Linked DNA regions of Lytechinus pictus. The protein of the gene in region 1 purifies or fractionates together with the protein of each later gene. This does not show direct contact. Links are inferred from orthologs where the notes say so. Each region holds a gene or a part of one and is shown on either strand. Other genes may lie near its edges.

Evidence for each region.
Region 2: the proteins of HEAT repeat-containing protein 3-like (region 1) and transmembrane protein 186-like purify together in Homo sapiens (co-immunoprecipitation; 3 studies listed by BioGRID and IntAct, counting the BioPlex papers as one, with this or other methods). This does not show direct contact. The link is inferred for Lytechinus pictus from reciprocal best matches to the Homo sapiens genes HEATR3 and TMEM186.

What each region holds. Positions count from the first base shown.
Region 1 is NC_087246.1:37,178,796-37,190,501, forward strand, and holds the start of HEAT repeat-containing protein 3-like, read left to right. Parts: upstream 1-6,514; 5' UTR 6,515-6,624; coding exon 6,625-6,780; intron 6,781-9,843; coding exon 9,844-10,016; intron 10,017-10,461; coding exon 10,462-10,549; intron 10,550-11,213; coding exon 11,214-11,326; intron 11,327-11,706. Other genes in the region: importin-4-like, read right to left, coding at 693-779, 6,173-6,238. UniProt on the Homo sapiens protein: Plays a role in ribosome biogenesis and in nuclear import of the 60S ribosomal protein L5/large ribosomal subunit protein uL18 (RPL5). Required for proper erythrocyte maturation.
Region 2 is NC_087249.1:2,090,731-2,102,391, reverse strand, and holds the start of transmembrane protein 186-like, read left to right. Parts: upstream 1-6,788; 5' UTR 6,789-6,859; exon of another isoform or gene 6,860-6,903; intron 6,904-10,344; 5' UTR 10,345-10,389; coding exon 10,390-11,142; 3' UTR 11,143-11,661. Other genes in the region: junction-mediating and -regulatory protein-like, read right to left, coding at 1-635. UniProt on the Homo sapiens protein: As part of the MCIA complex, required for efficient assembly of the mitochondrial complex I.

The DNA.
Region 1 (11,706 bases):
TTTAATGCTGAGGAGGTAAAAAAATGCCAGAAATCAGAATAAAAATAGTTTATAATTAAGGAAAATTTCTTAGTTGTTGCATTTTGGCATTTAATGTACCCCCCGCCTATATTAGGAGTATTTTTTTGGGGGGGTGGGCGAATCATTTGGTAAATGTTTGGAAATCAATGTATTGAAAAGGGTATAAATTTTACCAATCAAATAAATTCTGAGTCTTTTATTGATACAGATGAGTCCCCATAGTCACATAGCATTTTTTATAAAGCTTGGAAGAATTTATGGTAAAATCAGGGACATGGAATTTGAAGAAATATGAAATAATGCAAAAAAAAAGATAATTACCTTTTAAGTATATTATTCCCTCTCATATTAACAGAGAAAACAGGATAGTTAAGGTTGCTTCAAATTCAAACGAGAAAATGTTACTATAAGTAAACAAAACACAAAACTTTCCTTTTTAGTAAAGGAAAGCAAGATTTTCAAGACTGGCATTGCAGAAATGCTAGTTTTATCAACTTTCCCCCCTTTTTTGGGCTCTGATCAGTGATACCTTTAACCGATTGTAGCATACAAGATTAATGTTTTCCCTTAAATCTTCATGTATGTGAACATCTCATGTCTATGAAGTTTGTGGGAAAGACAGGAAGAATGGCGGAAGGAAAGGAGAAGGTTAGCAAAGGGCTAAATTATACCTGTGGGTTTTGAGACGTCGTAAGGACAGAACATAGCTCTGGCACAACGCCAGGGCTCTTCAAAGCTTGCTTCAGTTCTTCTGTGCCCTGCAGTGGGGGAAGGAGAAGGAAGATGAGGAGGAGGAGAGGAGGGGCAGAGGAAGATGGGAGGGGAGAAGGAAGGGTTGAGGAAGACATAAGGGGAGGGAACGGGGATGAGGGAGAGGGGGATGGGAGGAGGAAGAAGGTGAAGAGGAAAAGTGAAAAACAAAAAGAGAAGGAAATGGCAGGAAAAAAAAACAAAGTTGACAAATAGAAAACAAGGAAAGAGATATGAGAAAAAAAGAGGATATGAAAATAAAAAAGAGCAAGGTGGAAGAGATAGGGAAGGAAACAAAGAAAGAAAATTAAAAAGAAAGGGAGAAAGAATGAGAGAGACAGAGAGAGAGAGAGCAAGAAAGAAAGAAAGAAAGAAAGAAAAAAAGAAAGAGAGAAAGAGAGAAGAAAGAGAGAAAGAAAAAGAAAGTAAGAAAGAAAGAAAGAGAGAAAGAAAGAAAGAGAGAAAGAAAGAGAGAAAGAAAGAGAGGAAGAAAGAAAGTAAAAAAGAAAAAAAGAAAGTAAGAAAGAAAGAGAGAAAGAGAGAAAGAAAGAGAGAAGGAAAGAAAATGAGTAAGCGATGCAGCACATCGAAATGGGGTGGGGGAGGGATTGAATCAGAAAACAAAAACATGGTAAATTAAAAAGGGAATGAGGTAGCATGTGGAAATAATGAAATTGAACATTTAAAAAAAAATACTCAGATCACTGCAAAGGAAATTTAGAAAGATGACGAAAAAAGTTATGGGTAATGCCAAGTACAGTTTTTGTAGTGAAAAAAATATAATTATCGATTATCAGTAAGCAAATTAGAATCATAAAATGTGATCATTTTTATTGCACCTTTCACACATTTTGTTTTATGACATCTATAGTTTTTCAAACATTTCATTTTTTCACATTATAATTTAAGCTTTGAAACAGAACTTTAGATTAATAAAATAATAAAATGAAAGGGAAATATGGTTGAAACAAAACAGGATGGAAACATATGTTCGTAATCAGGTGTGGATTCATGGGTTACTTCCTCTTTCTTAATGATTTTCCTTTAAAAAACTAAGTACAAGTCAGTGAAATTGCAATAAAAATTGTAATAAGTGGAAAAGATCAAGGCATTCAACACCTAACAATCTCTCAAGTTACATCTCTAACTTTCCATAAAAGTTCCATATACTGAGGACCATTGGAATTCAACAAAAAACAAATTGCCATAATAAAGCTTGAAATATAGAATGTGAGTCTGAATAAATTCATGAAAATCAATTATGTACACAAAAAACAAAATTTAAATATGAAATGTTTCAGAAAGTGAAACTGAATATTCTGTATTCACAATCACAGCTATTAAGTTTGAAAAAAAAAATAGACCACTTCAGATCTATACATCTCATTGGATGAAAAATTAAAACTTTCACCATATTTTCTGCTATTTTCATATTTTCAAAACCAAATCTCTATTCATAACTGCTTCAACGAATGTCTGCTTCTCTGATCATAGGAATCAAAGTTCGAGAGTTCATATATATTTAAGTACAAAAATAAAAAGCATATCAATAACAAACAAGCGAACTTATCTGGAATACATATAGGAATACATGAATCCCCCAAACCAGTAGTGAGAAAATATGTTTGATGATAAAAAGGGTTTGGTGAACATAATTGAATATACATGTAATTAGGTGAAATCATAAAATACATTGATGGAAGGTGTTGGAGATAATAAAAAAACAACAACAAGATAAGAAAACAAGTTTAAAGGAAGGGTGGATACAACTTCTAGATCAAATTTAAAATCATTAACAAGTCCACCCAACCAAAAGCTGATTTGAATACAAAAAAGAGAAATTAAATACCGGGTATGCTTAACACTGAAAATTTCATAAAAATCGGATATAAAGTAGGAAAGTTACTATGACATTTTAAAGTTTCGCTTATTTTTACAAGACAGTTATATTCACATCCTAGTCGGTATGCAAATGAGGGGACTAATGACATCACCCACTCACTATTTCTTTTGTATTTTATTACTTGAAATATGACATATTCTTATTTCCCCTCATTGTGAACAAGTTTAAGTCCTCCCTGAACAAGTGGGATTACCATTGTTTTAAGATTTTGTGGTTCAGTCAAGTTCATCTTTATTGTAAAATCTGTAAAAATTGAAATATTGTATAATGCGGACATTAAAAAAACAAAAGAAATAGCGAGGGACATCATCTACTCTCTCATGTCTCTGAGTTGTGCATAACTGTTTTTTGAAAAAATAAGCAAAACTTAAAAATGTCATAACTTTTTTTATTTTACATCCAACTTTGATAAAATTTTCAGCTTTCTGCTTCTATGATTTTTCTCATTGATTCAAATCAACATTTTCTGGGGTAGAGTTGACCTTTAAGGGGCATCCCCCTCTCCTTATATCATCTCTCTTCTCCAACATCATTTTATCATCGTTCATAAATTTATTACTTTAAAGGTGATCAGATCATCCTCAGGTTGTCTATCAAAACAAAACAATGAACCAATGAAGTTTCTCAGTTAGTTTCACATATCAATATACATGTAGAATGAAAAGTTACTTAGGAAAAGTCCACCCCAAAAAAAACTTTAAAAAAAGAAAAAATCCAACAAGTGTAACACTGAAAATGTTAACAAAATCATATGTAAGATAACAAAATTTTGACATTTTTAAGCTTCCCTTGATTTCACAAAAAAAATTATATGCACATCCTGCCAATGAGAAGACTGATGACATCACCCACTCACTACTTCTTTTGTACATGCATAATGATGCATTTTATTTATTATATGAAATATGTAATATTCTAATTTTCTCCTCATTGTCATGTGATTATGTGAAACAAAGCTTTACTCCAGAGCTGTTAGCATGTGGTATTACCATTTATGGTTCAGTCGAGTTGAACCTTATTGTCAAATTTCAAATCTGTAAAAAATGAAATATTTTACAATTCAAACAATAAAAAACAAAAGAAGTAGTGAGTGCCAGACATCATCGACTCTCATTTGCATGTCATTGAGTTTTGTGAAAAATATGAAAAACTTAAAAATATCATAACTTTCCTATTTTACATCCGATCGTAATGAAATTTTCAGTGTTGGTCGCATTTCATAAGTTGGGTATGCAAAAAGGGTGGCGGATGAACAAATAATAAATTGTACCTACATCACAGCCCCATGGCCAAATTTGTTGTGTAAGGTCTCATTTTTGGAGCTAGAACTATAGGCTAAATAGTAAATATATTACTACAAATTAGATCAATACAATATCAGCAACAAAAACTATAGCACATTAAGTTTGAAGTTAAGGGGTGGCAGAGCCGGTGGATGCGGTGAATGATAATATTGTTGTAATGTGATGCTTAACGCATCATTTTTGTTCATTTACAGCATTTTCATTAGTTAAATGTCACTACTTAAACAAACTAAAGTTCAAATTTAATGTCAAAACAAACTTTTGAAACTACTGTATTTCAATGTCCCTATACAGTTAAATTATTAATGATGTTCCTAATAAATACACTCGATTAAGTAGGAAAAGTTTATCCAATATATACATTCAATAACCCTTTTTTCCCTAATTTCTTTTAATTTCAATATTGATTGAGTCTAATTTCACTTTAGAATTATTTTAAAGACTCTGGGCATCACTTTTTTAAGTTGAAGTACATTCATAAAAAAAGATATAGGCATGCAGGTAAATTATGTTAAGTTAATTAACTTAAATAACAACTAAAACATGCATTATTGTGCCATGATACATTCTATTATGTCATAATATGTACAATTGTACATGTACATGTATACTGACTGTCAGACTCATATTTCTAGCCAGTTTAAATTATGCAAATTTGACAACTTTGAAAACATTCCAGAATTAGCTACATGTACATGTGCATTTTAGCTCCAATCTGCAACCTATCTACCGGTAATTAGTAAATCCTATCTAATTAGTAAATTTTAGGAAAATATTGTTAACTATTTAATTTATAAACTTAATTTATACTATTTTAAAGTCTTGTATCATTAAAAAAACAACATTTTTTTCTATTCACGGTGTAGTGAATTTGCAAGGCATGTGAGGGTGAGCTGAGAGTCACTTTTTTGGAAAAAATTGCAAAATTAAACATTGTTAAAATTAGATGTAATTAATATGCATGCAATAACAGATTACCACTTTTTTGTTATGGATGTATTAAGCATTGATGTTCAAATAATACAACTGCAAAATAACATCGGTATAACAATAACAATAACAATAACAAAATACTAGGGTGATCCAATGTAGCATTAATTTTTTACACCATTTTTTGTGCAGAAAGTCCAATTTGAGAAAAATGCATTTAAAAATTCAAATTTACATTGACATCAATGTATTAGATATAAAATGAGTCATTTTAAGAAAAATAAAGGTATTTTAGGATAAAATCCTCCTTCAATATTTGAAGAATGGTAATACCTAAAAAATAACTTTTTCGACCATTTTTACCCTGTTCGCAAAATTGGACCACTTTATGACATGCGACCTGTTATGCTTGTTTGATTTTTCTCTATTCAAAATTATATCAATCTGTGATGGACTTGACCTTCAAAAAAGCATTCACATTTATTGTGAGTAGCCTTTATTTTGATCCCCAACCCACCCCTCAGTAGAATAAGAGAAAAATCTTCCTGCAATCAATATTGTTCAGTTACAATGTATTTTCAATGAATCCAGAACATAGTCGTAGATACTGCTCGTACTGTGGAGATCTGAAGAAAAAGAAAGTAGGGCCTAACTCTCTCACCCAAATTTCAACAAAGAAGTTTCATCAGGAATTTAGATCTAAACATTAAACACCTTTGGCAAAGCTAAAATATAAATAAAAAAACATTATTTCAAGATTAATTTTTAATCAACATCACCACCCAGTGTTGGTAAAAAATAAATTGTTAAACATGACTAGCACTATACAAATAGCTCCATGGTATAGGCATATCCACCACCAGCACCATCTGCATTATCAATATCATCACCATCACCATTATGATTTATCATCATCATCGTCATCACATCATCATTCATCTGTTCATATTTATGACATCATCGTCATCATCATCAACATCCTCATCATCACCACCGCCATCACCATCACCATCATCATTCAGTCACAGAAGCAAAATCAGCTGTACTTGGTCTCACTCTCAGACATACTCATAGTTCAGTCTCAGCCTCGGCTTCTGCTGCAAATCATCATGCAAAAAAAGCCAAAATCAGCAGATCAGGATTCAGGCCAGGCCAGGGCCAGGGATATGGCCTGTGTCAGTCTGAGCTGCTGAGTCTGAGCAATTTTGGCAAAGGCGTATTACTAATTTTAGCCGTTGCTTGCCAGTGGCAGTGTAGTCCTTACCTGTTGTATTACCACATTGTCAGGCACAAGAAGTTTCAGAAGAATTTGTTCAAGCGCTGATGACATTTTCCCAGGCTAAGCTCCGTCCTTCCCTGACACAAACTCAAGTCTACTCTAAAATCTAATGCCAATGCACTTCCTACGATTACGGTGCGCTCCCAACCCCGTCTTCTGCCAATTCTCCACGTAAAATGAATGAAAGTGTGCATGCATGGCACGGGTGTGATGAGTAAGTTAGACTCTTCAAAGAAAAAATGAGAAACCGGAACTTATTTGCACATGCACTGTGTAAGTGTAAAGCAAGCGACAAACAATAAAACAACTGGTAACACATCTACGTCTGAACAGTTCAAAGGTCATTATGTCCACATGGTTAATGTTATTTTGACACTGACGTGTTTCTCTCAGACTTTGTAAGATTGTAACTTTGAGGAGGTTTCGTCGCATCAAATATGGGAAAATCGAAGAATAAGAGATTCCGTTCAAAGAAGGCACAGCCGACTGGTTTGGAGAGTGTGAAGGAAATACAAGCAGAGGAAGAAGAACTCGGCACGTCCACGACCTCCTCGGACACCGTACAGCTGAAGACAGTCGGAGTGTTGGAGAAGGTGCGCGGGGCCCCGCCCCGGTAGTTTTTGTGTGTGTCGAGTGGTTGAGAGCAAGAGACGTGATTGCGGCCGGGTCGGGTGGGGTCACTTGTTCACTTCTCCCACGTCCCACCCTGCCTTGAGTGTGGGGAATCTAAATTATGTAGATCACTGCAGTATACAATTCACATTTAAAAATTCATTAAAATGCCACTTTAAAAACCATACAGTTGTCATGGCCATGGGGATCAGTTATTCACTGACAGTGACACAAGTCACTGGACCTGGACTCTGGAGCGCTCAAAACTTGAATTTTTGGCATATATTTGTGCAGGCCCTCTATTGATAGAAAGTAAAATTTTAAGAAAATTGTCATTTTTCAATCTCTTTTTTTAATTCAGAAAAAATACTTGAATAAAAGACTTCAATTTTTAAGATAATAAGAACCCGGGGGGGGGGGGGGGCACTTCCATTGACGAGTGGATACCATGCGCGACCATTTATTCTCGAATAGCACCCTAAACAAGTATTTTCCAAATTCTGAAAATGCATCCCTAACAAGTATTGGCATGTGAAACCCTACCCTTAACAAGTCCTGGGGGGGGGGGGGGGAGGGGGGGCCATGCAGTCAAACAAATAAATAAGTACAGCGATGTTTTAATTTTTAAGTCACAGTCTTAAGTTTTACCTTTACCTACATCATTGGGTTTATAGTACGGCACCAGCTTGTGTAAATCGTACACGTAGTGTTGACTGTTGGGGCAGAAAGTACATCCTTTATAAAACATTTTAGTCTTTTTTATACCCACGCAAATTTGACCCTTGACGTAGCTTTCCTAGCGAAATAGATACCCTTTTTTCATTATTTTAGTGGTCTTGACACTCTTATTACGTTACATACGTAACATGCCCTATCTTGGAAAAAGAGATCCTTATTACATGTTTTTTGTGGTCGCGCATGGTATCCAATCATCAATGTAAGTGGCCCCTCTGGGCTTAAGAACCAAGTTATATGATGAATAGTTGTAATGGAAAATGACAGTGTAAAAAAAAAATCAAGCATTTGTCAAGAGAAACAAGAGAAAATAAGCCAAACATTGCCAACCACAGGGAATAGTAACCTTGTTCATTAAATGAGCGGTTGGGATGAGACTTTCTGCAGGTATTTTGTAGCTGGCCCAAATCAGAATGCCCATTATAGCAAAACGGTTAATTATGTTCATTATTGTCCATGTGAGCGCTCTAATTTTAGCTCAATTGTATTCAGTTTTACCCTTGGCCTCGGCCCTCCATTTACAGTAACTTAGAGGCGCTGGTCAGAAAATTGGGACCGTCCCAGTTTACAGGGACTATCTCAGTTTTCAAAGATTCCACCACACAAGAAATCTAGGAAAGTTCATTCACCTGTGCCGACACCAATCTAGTGCGCTAGTCAATGTAAACATATAATCGAGTTTCACAAAAAGATTATTGGAAGACGGCATATCGTGAAAAGACAGTGAACTGGGGGGAATTGAGGTCACTGAATCTAATTTTAGCACTCTCAATCCCCGAAATTGCCGTCTTTGTCCCGCATGGGTAAGTGAAAAAAAAATGTCCCCATAAACAAGGACAGTCTCAATTTATTAAGACATGATTTGTCTTGGTTTATGAGTATATTCTTGTTTTCTGGGACAATCCCAATTTTTGGACCAGCGCCTCTACTGATTTGAATTGTCTCAGTTAACAATTAGATTAGATAATAAATTCAACTGTCTCATACTGATAATAAGCTTTTAATTTGTCATATATAGTCTAGTAGACTACATTAAAATAATCCTCAACACCTAAAACACAATGAAAATTACTTAAAAGTCTCAGAAATTCCATATCTAACTTCTGAAAAAGTAGCAAAATAGATCATCTTTATGTGCTGAAAAATAAACATAACAGGACCTAGCTTGCTCAGCTGTGTGTCGCACGCACGTTTTTAGTATACAAGTTATCTCGTGTGTAAGCATTGTCGTATGCTAGCGAAAATCCATTAAAAAAAAAATTCATAATGCAAGCCTATGTCTATGGCTTTACTATGTATTGTGTGCTGCACAGTGTGGCTTTTCACGACCATACACCGAAACTTCAACAATTCAAGTTTTGACAATGATCTTGAGATTTTGATGATATCGAACCTTAAACCCCTAAAATTAGAAAAGAATGAAATAAGCTATCTATATCTCAGAATAATTGACAAATCTAGCTCATTTTGAGCGGATTACGTTTGATTTTAAAGCTAACTTTGATATCAAAATCCGCTGCATTCACCGTACAGGGGTACAATCATGGTGGATTCTTCCGCCCAACGCGCACATACAAATTTCGTGCACATCCGCGATAGCGCCAATTAGCGCTCATTGTGGATCCTACTGTCTCACTCTCAGTTTTCAATCAAACTAATTGATTAATGTTACAGTCTACAAATTCAATTTTTAGGAAAGTTCAATCACCTGTCAAGTGCTGACACTTATCAAGTGCACAAGTCAATGTAAACATACAGTATCAGGTGTCTAACAAGATTATTGGAAGACGGCAAGTCCTAAACAATATATGGTGAATTGAATCTGTTGGGATCGAGGTCACTGAATCTACGTTATTTTTAGCACTCAATCCCCTTAATTTTGGTTTATGTCCTGCAGCTGCGCAGGGAGAAGTGGGAAAAAAAACTCAATTTATCAAGACACGATTTGTCTCATTTTATGAGGATATCCTTCTTTTTGGGGCACTATCTCAATTATTGGACCAGCACATCTATGTTAATCAGTCTAAAAAATGTGAGTCATACATGGTGTATTGTCTTTGATCATTTGTGAACTTGGTAAATGTCATGTTGGTCAGTAGTAGTCGGCTGAAATACGTCTGGAAGATGTTTTTTTTTAAAATTTGTTTCCTCCTTCAGTCCAGGCCAGCAGATTGGAAAACCGAATGAAAAAACAATGCAGAAAAATGGTAGTACTAAAAATGGGTGAAGGAGAAGAATATATGCAACAATCTGTCAGAGATGCATGCTCTTTGGATGAACTTGACAACTTTTTCTGTCTTCATTTTCAGCTTCAAAGTAGCTCGGCTGAGGAGAGAGAATGTGCCTGCACGTCTCTGGCAAACTTGGTCCAGGATCCCCAAGCACTGCAGACCTTGGTCCAACAGAAAGCAGTGCGTAGCCTTGGGCCTCTTCTCGTTGACCCATCATCAGGTATCCGAGAAGCTGCGGCTGGAGCTTTGAGGTAAATTTCTTTGTATATTTCTGTCTGTCTCTCTCCCTGTCTGTCTCTCTCACTCTCTCTCTTTCAGAAAAAAAGAAGAAGTAATTTTTACTTGCATTTAGGATCTGTGTGCAGATTGTCCTAATTTCCAAGGTTTATTTCAAAGTTAAAGAGTTCACAAACTAGTGGCTTAAATTATAATGCAATTGCAAAGCACTCAGGGGTCAATTTTCTTACAAAAATCGACCAAAGAACTTTCTGAACGCAGAAATCATTGTTGCTATTAAAGACTCAAGATAGGGATTGATAAATAATCTGATGAAAATATGCATTTTGTAAATTTGTAATCTGATGAATTTACAAATTTGTAAATTCAAATTAGTAAATTTACAAATGTTGTAAATTCACAAGTGATTGTTTTATTGTGAATAATGAAATATTAATTTATTTTCTTGATATTGTTCAGGAATCTGACTGTAGCAGGTGGACATGATATTTGTGACCATATGATAGATGAAGACATCATGACCCCTCTAGTTGCATTCCTACTTCAGGTAAGAATCCATGTCAAAGGTTATTGTATACTCTATACACTTTTCTTTATGGCTTTTGTCCTCAAACAACTCAACAAATAGAGTCAATGTTTTTAGTTTATGTATTAAAGATATTTCACTTATTTTCTTTTATTATTATTTTTTGATTGATTGATTGATTTATTCATTAATTCATTTATCTATTTCATTTTTTAAAATATTCTTTTATATTTTGTTGGCAGGCTCAGGTCAAATTTTAGATCAGTTGTCAAGCTATAGAGTATCATGAAAGGTTAATGAATTTTCAACTAAGACATTGACCTTGTTGGAATGTGATAAGAGCAGGCTCTTAGTCTTTCTGTCATGAAAGTTAGATGAGGATGTCATTTATGTTGAAGAATCTACTTATTTGCCATTTCAGAGTTATTAATGAGACTTTTCCTTGAATAGTAAACTTGACAGCCAAGCATACAACATCAGATGATGAACATTGAATCTGTTATAATCCCATAAAATGATCAACCTTTTTGTAGACCTGTCTAACCTCCATTTTTGTCCAGTTTTAATTCACTGTACAAACTGCTCATGCCATGATAATTTAAGAGCAGTACAGTTATGATACAAGCTAGAACTAAGATATTCATTTGCAATTTAGTTGTTTTATGCCAATGAATGTTATGTTTAGTATTCAGATGGAATTCCACAGACCTCTGCAAAGCATAAAGAGAATAAGATGCCTCAGCATGACTCAAGTTTAGAAGCATTAGTGCAAGCTGTACATCTTGTCTGGAATTTATGGTAAGATTTTTAGATTTCATTGAGGACTGTTTATGAGGTGGAGAGAATGATGATGATACTGATAATTGAGGTGGTTGTGATGATGATGATGATTATAAGGATCGTGAGGATCGTGATCCTGATGATCACAATGATCATAAGGATGAAAATGATGATGGTGATGGTGAAAATAATTGATGTGGTGGTGATGGCGGTAGTGGTGGTGGTGGTGGTGGTGATGATGACGACGATGAAGGTGGTGGTGTTTGCGATGATGGAGTGGTGATGGTTGGGATGAGGATGGTGATGGTTGGGATGAGGATGGTGATGGTTGGGATGAGGATGGTGATGATGATATGTCAGAGGTCAAACAATTCCTCTTCTAACCCCCCCCCCCCGTG
Region 2 (11,661 bases), on another chromosome or scaffold:
TCCATCATGTCCTTCATTTTCTTCACTGAAGAGTGCTTCTTGTGCGACGTTGCAAGCTGCTCCTCCCACTTGGCGACGTCAGCTTCATAAGCATCTTGCTTCAATTTACCATAGCTCTCCACATAGCCCTCAATACCAACATGAGAGTTGAAGAGGGTATCAATCACAAGTTTCTTCCCGGCGACTTCAGTTGCGGTTCCAAGGTATCTCACCAGCTGTTGGTCTAAGTCATCAGGAATATCAATATTGTACACCCAGCTCCAGATGCCACGGGGGTCAAAGGGTAAAGATGGAGGATAGTCAGAAAGCTCAGGTTTAACAAGGCACATCTGTTCATGGGCATACTGCAATTCTTGAATGGACATGAGGGTTGTCCAACCTTCTTTGGTTCCGTTCTGCGAAGGTCTACCCTTGGGGTCACCAGGTTGAGGAGTACATGTTTTTTTCCCTGGAGCTCCAACATTGAGGGTTCTTCGTATCACTCGTTGCTCCTCTTCATGGCAGACAATGGCAACCTTGTGAAGCTGTTCGTTCCATGCTACCTTGAAACAAAGACGTGACGTCTTAGCTTCAGAGGTTTGGAATGGATCTGGTTGGATAGCTACCCAATCTTCTGAACTGATTTGTCTCTCCATGATACTCTGTAATAATAATGAAAATAAAAATAATTAGACAATTTATAGGGCACAGGTAATAAGAATCCTGGAAGCGCTGAAAGACTTGTGACAAATTTCCCCACCTTTTGTGGAAAGCCTTCAATCTCATTTTGAGCGCATGCGTGTTTAATTTTCTTATATCCGCCTCTATAGTGATATGATGACTTCGATGGCGATTTATATAGGTCAACTACTTGTATGTCGCATCGAGCTAGCGGAGGCGTCGTATGCCTAGCTAGGTCCTATAGGCCAGCCCAGCAGTCCAGAAGAGGCTTGGTACAAGAAATTCTCTATTAAGATGCTTCCTTGTTGCATCTTCCCATTATCTGCACTGAAGAGTACCTACATCCAGTCCTGGAACCAGACATGGTTGGCATTTCAGCAAGTGGGTATTCAATGTTTATCATTTTATTTAAATGTAGTGAGGCACTGCATAATTTTCCCTTTTCATAATGCCTTTGGATATATGTTAAAAAATATTCTTATTAGTATGCACCAGATCACACAATTTCACCTTGAAAAATGAAAAAGCTCCACACCGTGGGAGAGGTGGTCGCCCCCCTCCCCCACTCCCTCGATTCGCTCAGTTGGGCTTGGTCACTTTACTCCCTTGCGCTTAGCTTCTCGTAAAATCTCACTCTCAACAATTATCAAATGTTGGCAGCCCTGATAAACTGTAGTGTTAAATTCATGGTAATTCCACATGTTCAGGGAGGAATAAAATTTTGTTTCACATGACAATGAGGAGAAAATTTGACTTTTTCATATTTACAAAATACGAAAGAAATAGTGAGTGGGTGACATTTCTCGATACAACATGCAATCGTTGGCAAAGAGCCGGGTTGCAGATGAGACTTGTTGGGGAAGATCATTAACATACAGCAAAAAGAGTGTGGGGCCGTGGACAGTCCCCTGGGGGACGCCCGATGCAAGATACATGCTTTAGATGTTACGCCTTCAAGAACTAGCACATATGTCACTAGTAAGAGGTTAGTATGCTGGAGCTGGATCTAGCATAGCGACCAAGTCAGAAAGTAAAATAGTCAGAGACTGAAATTGAAAAAAAAGCTCAACTTTGCATCTGTCTGCTGGCAATGGCTCAAAAAGATCTATGGCAAGTTCCCACAAGTCTGCATGTGCAGTCCCCCTTGTCTACGCACACGCATATCTGCGCGATTCTAGTAAGTTGTTAGTTGTAACACATAGACAGATATTCATTTAAAAATCTGACTCATAATTAATGGTGGAAAAATAATGAATTTTGGGCATTTCAATGCGACGGCCTCAAATGCAGCCTTTCTCATCAAATTACCCAAATCATGTGCAAAGTGAATGGGTGCGCAGACATGCAGGGGTTCCATTTTTTTTTCCAATCTGAAAAAGACTGACCGAGGTTTTTTCCAAGAAAATCCTATACTGTATTTCTTTCAAATTTGTATGAGATACTTGATACACTTACTCATAATAATATAAGGAACATTATTCACTGAAATATTTTGTGAAATAAAAGAGAAATTCATGTTAATTCTTAACTCAAATCGTTAAATGCGCAGACTTGGGGACCACCATCATACCATCTACTCTGGTAAACAATTTCAGTGTCACTCGGCTCACACAGTCACAGAAACTTAAGTCACATAATCTCTCTACCCTCTAAATGTAGTTAACCCAGAGAGCTCCGGCCCGCTTCGCGCGCCTGGATTACCTTAACATGCTTTTAATAATTAACAAGTTCTAACTAACTTTAATTTAGTTGTTACAATTACAACTACGACAATAAAAGTAAATAATCACAAAGACTGAAAACGACTGAAAAAAGATGGAAGATTATTAGATCTATTAACCTCAACTCAAGTCAAGTGATGTTCTAACCCAGGGAGCCCAGTAGTCGACTGTGCAAAGGAGAGGTATCGCGACAGAACTTTTCGTTTCTTAAAGGTTCCAGTCTGTGTCTCGATGTCAGGATTTGTGTGTCACGAAGTTCATCCATATAATCGTGGTACATGTAAGTGCATAATTTCCGTTTCCACTTTTATTAAGATTACTATTTGAGACCCCAATCTACCCCAGGGGCCTGTTGCATGAGATGGTCTTTGGTAATACCGCTCTACATAAGAACGAGATATCGCTCAACTGTTTCACAAAGCCGATTTGGGCGATGCAAAGAATGATCCTTGGAAAGACACCTCCAGACATGTCCTACGTAGGCATGATCTTCTTTGCACACCGCCCGCCACCGTCAGCATTGAGAGAATATGCGTTTATGGCAAGCCACACTGACATATCACCTTTAAACATTTTTTTTTTGGGGGGGGTCATTCGAGTGCACTCTGATGCATTTTATCTGGGATGGCGCCAAGTTATTTTTTATATGGGGGGGATAATTTCAGGGGCCCGTCTTACAAAGACTTGCGATTGATCCGATCAATCACAACTATGGAAAGCCAGCAAAGTCAACATATAAAATGCATGTTTGCTCAAATTTTTTTTATAGATGAATGTATATCCATAAATTCATTGAATTCTAGATAATTCGATGTGTTCTTTGTTTACAAAGGACATTTTGCAAATTTCCTGTAGAAAAAATTATGACACTGATGGATTTTCATAGAGTTAAGATTGATTGAAACAATTGTAACTCTTTGTAAGACGGGGCCCAGATCATCTTGCATGGCAAGACGACCCAAAACGGGTGTCACTTTAACTTCTCCGGGGTCAATCTAGGCCCAAATAATTTTTTTTAGTATGTTTTCTTTTATTCTCCCTCCTGTCTTTTCCCCACCCCCTTTCCAGTTTTTTTTTTAAATTAAACTTGAAGTTGAAATATCGAAATGAGCGGCAGCCTCTCATTAGATAAACAACATGAAAACTATTTTTTTTTTAAAGAGATCATTATGAATGGTAAAAAACGTGTTTATAACGTTCAACGAAAAAAAGACAGCACGATACAAAACTAAGATGTTACTAAACATGCTTAATCATTTATTTATTTTTATTTCATTTTCATAATGACAATCACTAGCGTACCTACGGGGGGGGGGGGGGGCAGAGGGGGCACTCTGCCCCCTGACGAGCAACCATGACCCATACAAAAGACATATACCTGCCCCCCCTGACGAGCTTAAAAGACCTTTTTTGCCCCCTCCCCTGACGAACTTGAAGACCTTTAATGCCCCCCCTGAAGAGCCTGAAGACCTTTTTTTTTTTTTTTTTTTTTTTTTTGCTTGTCAAATTTTTTGGCGGCCGATTTTGCCCCCCCTGTGGAAAATCCTAGGTACGCCACTGATGACAATTATTATTATTTTTTGCCGAGATTAATTTTAATTAATGAAAATTAATTGATGGATTTGTGCTAACTTGAGATGATGAATGAAACAAAAAAAATCTGCAGTGACTTAACAAAATAGCTAATTGAATTTAATATATAGATTAGGCCTAATAGCTTACGAATCCATCACAATCATTATAAATGAGGATAAGTTTGTTGTATCAATAAAAGAAAAGATTATGAAAAGTCCATACGAAGAGGCGCATTTTAAATCGTAGGGTAGGACCTATCGGCCCCTATGTCATGTTAAAGCAATAATGTAGTCTCGACTCCTTAACTTTGAAATGTTGAACATAATATTCTTAAAGCTTATATTCTTATATAAACTTCCATAAAGTTAATACTAAATAGGTTCATTATTGCGGACTGAAATAATCGCTAGAGGGTATTCATTTGTCTCGCAATCTACTATGGTCAACAAGGAAATTTGTGATCATAAAGTTATCAACTTTAAATATGACCAACGTTTATGATAGTTGTCATTTTTAGCATTGTTTCTGAAAATTGTATTTTTTCCATTGCGGATTGATTTCACACATTTTTCTATGTTTTATTATTGCAAAGCACTACTTTACCCACTTGGACATGTTTGCAGCAATTTTCATATTTTGCTTGTCTTCGATTACTCATCATGCAAAGGTATTTCTTGCGTGATATCTGACAAATAAGATAAATAAGATTTTTCACAAGCAGCCTCTCATATTTTCCTTTTTAGTCTCAAACAATCAGACACATTGATTTTGTTTACTCCATTCAAACCCTATTTTTACCTCAACAAATAACATTTAACGCATAATTTGCAAAATCATCATTATAAATAAGTATTCTATAAAAAAATCAGAATATTGAATTAATACAATGTCAAAATTGCTTAGTTAATTCAATTTTTATGTTGGTCAAGGGTCTCTTTCGTTGAAATATCAATGAAAGGTGTCTCTAAAAGGACACCGTGTTCTAAATAAGAGAAATATAAATGAAAATTTTGCAATTTTATCCAGTTTGTTTGTGAATCTTTAAAGTTTTTTCTCCTTTTACCTCATAAAGTAAGCTCCATACATCAATTCTACAATCAGTAATAATTAAAACATTATTTGATCTCCATTTATTGAAATATATGATTTTATGAAAAGTTGTCATTCCGAAATAAAAGGTTCAGGTGACGATGAAGACTAAATATTTTTCCGATACTATAATCGATATCAAACGATGTCGCGGACTTGGAAGACAAAATTACCTCCGTGAAACGGTAAGCGCTGATTTGTCGCCAATCTTCCTATCTCGGAAGAATGGTCCTAGGACGTTCCTACGGCTACGTATCGCTCATCTCGTCATGCAACAGACCCCAGTGTCTCCCTCGTTTTGCACGGTCAACTCCTGGGCTCCGGCCCACGAAGCGGGCCAGAGCTCCCTGGGTTACCGGTTAGTCATGTTCGTGCAGGCTCCACTCCCCGCTCAGGGGCCGATTGCACGAAAGGGTCTTTCCAAGGACCATCTTTCGTGTCGCCCATATTTTATGATGCGCTGTATGCGGGATTTTACTGAAATGTACTATGATAAACAAATAAAATTTGTTAGCTAGCATTTTAATCGATTTGTATACAAATTACAATTTCCTGATATATCACATCATTTTATAAACAAAGATTTTGTTTACTTTAACAGATGAATAAAATATGTTTGCAGGTAATTTATTTAAAATGTGTTTCACATGGCGCATCATAATAAATGGGCGACACGAAAGACGGTCCTTGGAAAGACCCTTTCATGCAACCCCGGGGGGGCCACTTACATTGACGAGTGGATACCATGCGCGACCAAAAAAACACGTAAAAAGGATGTCCTTTTCACGATAGGGCACGTTACGTACGTAACGTGATAAGGGTGTCAAAAACACAAAAATAATGAAAAAAGGGTGTCTATTTCGCTAGTAAAATTACGTGTTTAGGGTCGAATTTGCGGGAATGATAAAACAAAATTAAAATGTTTTATAAAGCCTTAAAGGATGTCCATTTTGCCCCAACACTTCGTGTTTAGAGTCCGATTTGCGCGAGGTGTAGAAGATGGGGTCGTACTATACCAAATAAGGTAAAGCCGACGACCGAAGGACCCGTAACAATAAAACATTCCTGTACTTGTTCAGGGGATCATATATCAAGGAATATTTGCCAAGAGTCAGGGCCAAGAGTATATCGTTTTGTTTCCAATACTTGTTAAGGGTAGGGTTTCACACGCCAATACTTATGTTAAGGGCTGCATTTTCAGAATATGGAAATTACGTGTTTAGGGTGCTTTTTCGAGACCCCATGGTCGCGCATGGTATCCACTCGTGAATGGAAGTGGCCCCCCCGGGCATGCAACAGACCCCAGCTCACTCACTGTCACACAACTTCACAAACAAAAACATGCGAGGCGAGGCTCCCCGCTAGTAATACTAGTACCGTACTAGTAGTAGTACACAGTCACTAGACTACGCCTACGCCACGGCCGGCTTCTACGCTACAGACGTACAGTACAAAGCGTAGTGTATCGGTAGTGAAGTGGAGTGGAGCCTGCACGAACACCAGTGGAGGTAATTGTGGGCAATTGTGGATAAGATTTAAGAAAATGAGATCAAATATTGGTTACATTACAACAAAAATGAAATTACAACCTGAACTGAGGCCTGAGGCTGAGCTTCAGCTTCGACTAGCTCGAGCAATGTAAATAATCATGACGTCATCTCCCCTTTAAAGCCTTGAAGACTGTGCTCTTATCTCTATACCGCGTGCCGTTAGTTAGTTCCGGTAACGTATAGCTATGAAAAGAGTCTAGTTCAGATCAGAGAAGGTATCCCAGTAAAATCAATGTATGCTCCCATGTGAACTGAAAGAGAAAGGTATTCAGCTGTTATTTATCGTCCATCCTATCCTTTTGAATTTGGTTCGTATTTATATTTCCCCCGAAAATATTTATATGCTTATACGCACTTTTTTTTGGCTTAGAATACAATTTCCTAATTTTCTTCCTATGCATGGTAGCTGCTAGTACTTTTAGTAGCTGCGAGCTATATTAGTCCCACACATATGTTTTCGTGGAGTAGAAAAACGTTCTTAAAGGTCAAGTCCACCCCAGGAAAATGCTGACTTGAATAAATAGAGAAAAATTAACCTAGCATAGTGCTGAAAATTTCATCAAAATCGGATGTAAAATAAGAAAGTTATGACATTTCAAAGTTTTGCTTATTTTTAACAAAATAGTTATATGAACGAGCCAGTTACATCCAAATGAGAGAGTCGATGATGTCACTCACTCACTATTTCTTTTGTTTTTTATTGTTTGAATTATACAATATTTCATTTTTTATAGATTTGACAATAAAGACCAACTTGACTGAACCATATAGTATTAAACAATGCTAATTCCACATGTTCAGGGAGGAATCAATCGTTGTATCACTCGACAATTAGGAAAAAATGAGAATATTTCATATTTCAAATAATAAAATACAAAAGAAATAGTGAGTGGATGACATCATCAGTCTCCTCATTTGCATACCAGCCAGGATGTGCATATAACTGTTTTGTGAAATTAAGCGAAACTTTAAAATGTCATAACTTTCTTATTTTACATCCGATTTTGATGAAATTTTCAGTGTTTTGCTTGTTGGATTTTTATCTTTTTATTCAAATCAACTTTTTGTTGGGGTGGACTTGTCCTTTAATAAATTTAATACTTTATTAAATATTACACAATCACGAAATTTACCTGTTTTTTTTGTAAGCTTCACTTCCTAGGCTGCAAGCTGTATCAGACCTTTGTCTTAGTTGGTGCATTTGCCGATGCAGCACGACAGAGGCAGAGCAGAGCTAGAGTGAGAGTATGGACTATGAATGATATATAAGTATAACTATAAATAATGAGTAGTCATGCATGACGTGGTATGGGATTATTGGGATTGTCATGAAGACCCATGATCATTCATGATGATTGTCTGTTTTTGTTTCCCTCAAACCTTATTTATTAATTTTTCATTTATATGCTTTAAGGGACTACTTTAAGTGGTGAGATTACACAACACTTGAAACCTTTTGATGATATTTTTTTTCCAATTCAATAAGTTTAACACTTAAATAAACGTTATTAGAATAATTAAGTCTACGGTACGGAAAAAACTTAAATTAAAAGGATCATACAATACGGTTCATAAATAATGTCAAATTTCAAATTTATAGGTCTAGTCTAAAGAAGGAATTAAGTAGCATGTATTGTAGTAGACATGAATAACTGTCGTTTCTGGGCATTTATTTAACAATTTCTGACACTTTACTATCGTCCCCATTCAGTATTGGTGAGTGGAGCCAACGTAGTTAAGTGGAACAACCAATTTACAGAGACTGAAGTTGTTTGTCTAGTAGTATTGTAGGGAAAGTTCCTAAAAGTGCCCCTGGCAATATTGATTTTTTTTTCCTTCAGGATATGAAAATGGACTGTGATCAAATTCCCTAGCAATTGTCCAGAAAATTAGTTATACAGTGCGTCCCAGAAAAAACGAAACCGAGATTTAGCGATGATTTATCATAACTTAATCATAAATAAAATAGACAAATGACCTACCAATTTAAAGCTTAGAATCTCCTCTTTCATCTGGTATTACTTAGACTATTCCTCATTCACGCATGATTGAGCAAAAACAATTCAAAGAAAGGATGCCAAAAACTCATTTGGCGGGGGGTATCTGAATTTCAAAAAGAAAATCACATGACTAAAAAGTTCAATATCTTCTCTTTTCTTTGATACCTAAATCACAGAAAATGGTCAAGTAGTAAAAAAGTTATGATCCCTCGAAACAATGCTTGTATTTCCATAATTTCATTAAATAAACGTGTTTTCACCGGTTTCCCACTGAAGCTATCGCACGGTAACAAAAGACTTAATGCATGGCTGATCGTCAACAAAACGGAGTGTCGAGTGAGTGTGAACTCTAGCCTGTAAAACCTCTTCATTTTATGAAATTATTGAAATTCAAGCCTTATTTCAAATAACCAGAACTTTTTTATTTCTTGACCATTTTCTGTAATTGAGGTATCAAATTAAAGAGCAGATATTGAACTTTTTAAAAATGTGGTTTTCTTTTTAAAACCCAGATACGGCCCACCAAGTGACTTTTTGGTATCCGCTTTTCAAATTGTTTTTGCTCACTCATGCGTGAATGAAAAATAATCTAAGTAATTTCAGATGAAAGAGGAGATTCTAAGCTTTAAAATGGTAGGTCATTTGTCTATTGTATTTGCGATTAAGTTATGATAAATCATCGATAAATCTCGGTTTCGTTTTTTGTGGGACGCACTGTATAAATGTCGATCCTTCGATCTGATTTTGCCTAATATGATAAATAAGGATATAAAAATTGTAACTAAAAATGTTATGTAATTAAGGGGCACCTTATTTGTAATTTGTTATTGAAATGTCCTATGGGGGATCAATTGATTAAGTTACAAAGTAGGTATAAAAACTACAAAGGGATTGAATTACAATGAATGGAATTCATTATTCATTGAGTAAAAATGAATCATGAACCAATAAGCCCATGATATGCTATAAAGGTTGCAGTCTATTTGACTTCTACACTGTACAAGTGTAACAATGAGTCAGATTGTTATTTTCCCCTTATATTAGAAGTTCAGTTCATCTCATTTAAGAAATACCGGTATGCATCTGCATCATATTTTCACACTGCATACAGCATTAAATTGACAAATGTAGTGTAAAACAGTGACTCATCTGATATTCTCCCATAGAGTCAATGCGAGTAATTGCACAATATAATACATCTCTATGGTGTTTTCCCCTCTATTCTTTGCTTTTATTTCTTTACAGATAGTGAATATATTCTAATCTCCCCAGACTGACATTGCTTTTGTCATGAGTTGTGTCCTACTTCATATCTTATATATTTCTTTCTTTTCTTTTTTTCAACACAGTAAGCAAAGCTATGCAAAATGTACAAAAATTTTCAGTTTTGTGAGCAGTTATTTTGTAGTCATTTCATTTACTTTTACTAATGTCTATGGAGAAACGATTGGACAAAATTTGCTTTGTTTCTAGCCATTTTTCAAAAGGCTACAGATGGCTACAAAGCAGCTTTTAATATAAACAGGAGGAAAAGGGCTCAAAGTAGCTCACTGTGCAACCATTTGCAGTTACTACAGTGTACTGCCATTGTAAACTGTACTTGATTCTCCAATTTGGCTGACATAATGTGCATTATTCAATAAGACTTCTCATGTCCCTGGGTAAATTCAACAGTACTAAAATTTCAGTCCTTTATATTTTTTCATTTCAGTTTGAATACAACATCTTTCTCTTATTTTGCTATTGCAGGCAGGACCCATTATTTGATGTGAACAATTTCTTCAAGTCAAGAAGATGACAATGCAGGTTCTATTGAAACTTTGCCAAGGGCAAAGAGCAGTGTGTCCAATTCTTAATCTATCTACAAAGAGTCTCATCAGGAACAAAGTATGGAAAGCATCATCTGTGCTTTCAACAAGGAATATTGCATCAAAAATGCAAGAACACTTTCTAAACTTTGGCAGGAGTCCTCTTCGCTCAAGGAGTATAGCTTGTCTTGTCCAGCAGCGACTACCAAGTATTTCAAGAGGAGTAACCAGCAAAGTAAGTGACATGGTTTCAGGTGAAGAAGACGATCCAGAATTCAAAGCATTCTACCGTCTTCCATCCATTGTTCAGCTGAAGATACTATCAAGGATCAAGATAGTCCAGACTGGGTTAACACTAGCTCTAATCCCTCCTATCTATTACTACCATGATGCAGGTATGTTGATGACATGGCAGCTTCAGTTCTCTGTTGGTATCGCGACCTTTGCCCTCTTCATGCTTTATGCCATGAGCTTCTTCCTAAGGCGAATGATCGGAGCAATGTACCTACATCGTGAAGGAGACATTATCAAAGTCTCCCATTTGACATTCTGGGGAGGCAGGAGAGATACTGTTTTCCCGGTAATGGATGTTATCCCCCTGAGTGAAGGAAGCAATAGAGCAGATGATGTACTCTTAAAGTTGGAGAGATACAGCACAAAGGATATCCTTTATTTCACCCTGCCGATTGGACGTGTCATTAATGCGGAAGCCTTTGAAAGCGTATTTGGTCAACCTTAATGATGCAAATCTGTTAGTCTGTCAATGAACATTATTGGCATTAACTTTGTCCAGTCTTTAGGGGAAACCCCCAGAAAAGTCTTGAATATGATTTTTACTTTGGAAATTAAGTGATGTTCATGTGCCTCCCCTCTCCTGCCCTGAGAAAAACTTGGCAAAATCATATAAAACTTTATCCTGTTATATTATTGGCAGGGTTTATGTATAATCATTTCAAAAACACTTAAGTTCCAAACAAATAATACACCTTTTTGTTTATTTAGTAGCAGATTGACCTCAATAAGTCCCCCCCCCCCCCAGAAAAAATGTGATGAATCTAAAATGACATACTTGTATTTATCCTACCCCCCCCCCCCTTTAAACAAAATTAGAAAAAAGGAACATGAATGAAAATTGTTTTCAATATCTTGCATTAATATCTTAGAGTCCAACAGCATCATGAATATGTCGCAGACAATACACACGTCAGATATTGATACTTAAATTTTTAGTGATATTCACATCCAGGTGCACTATGCA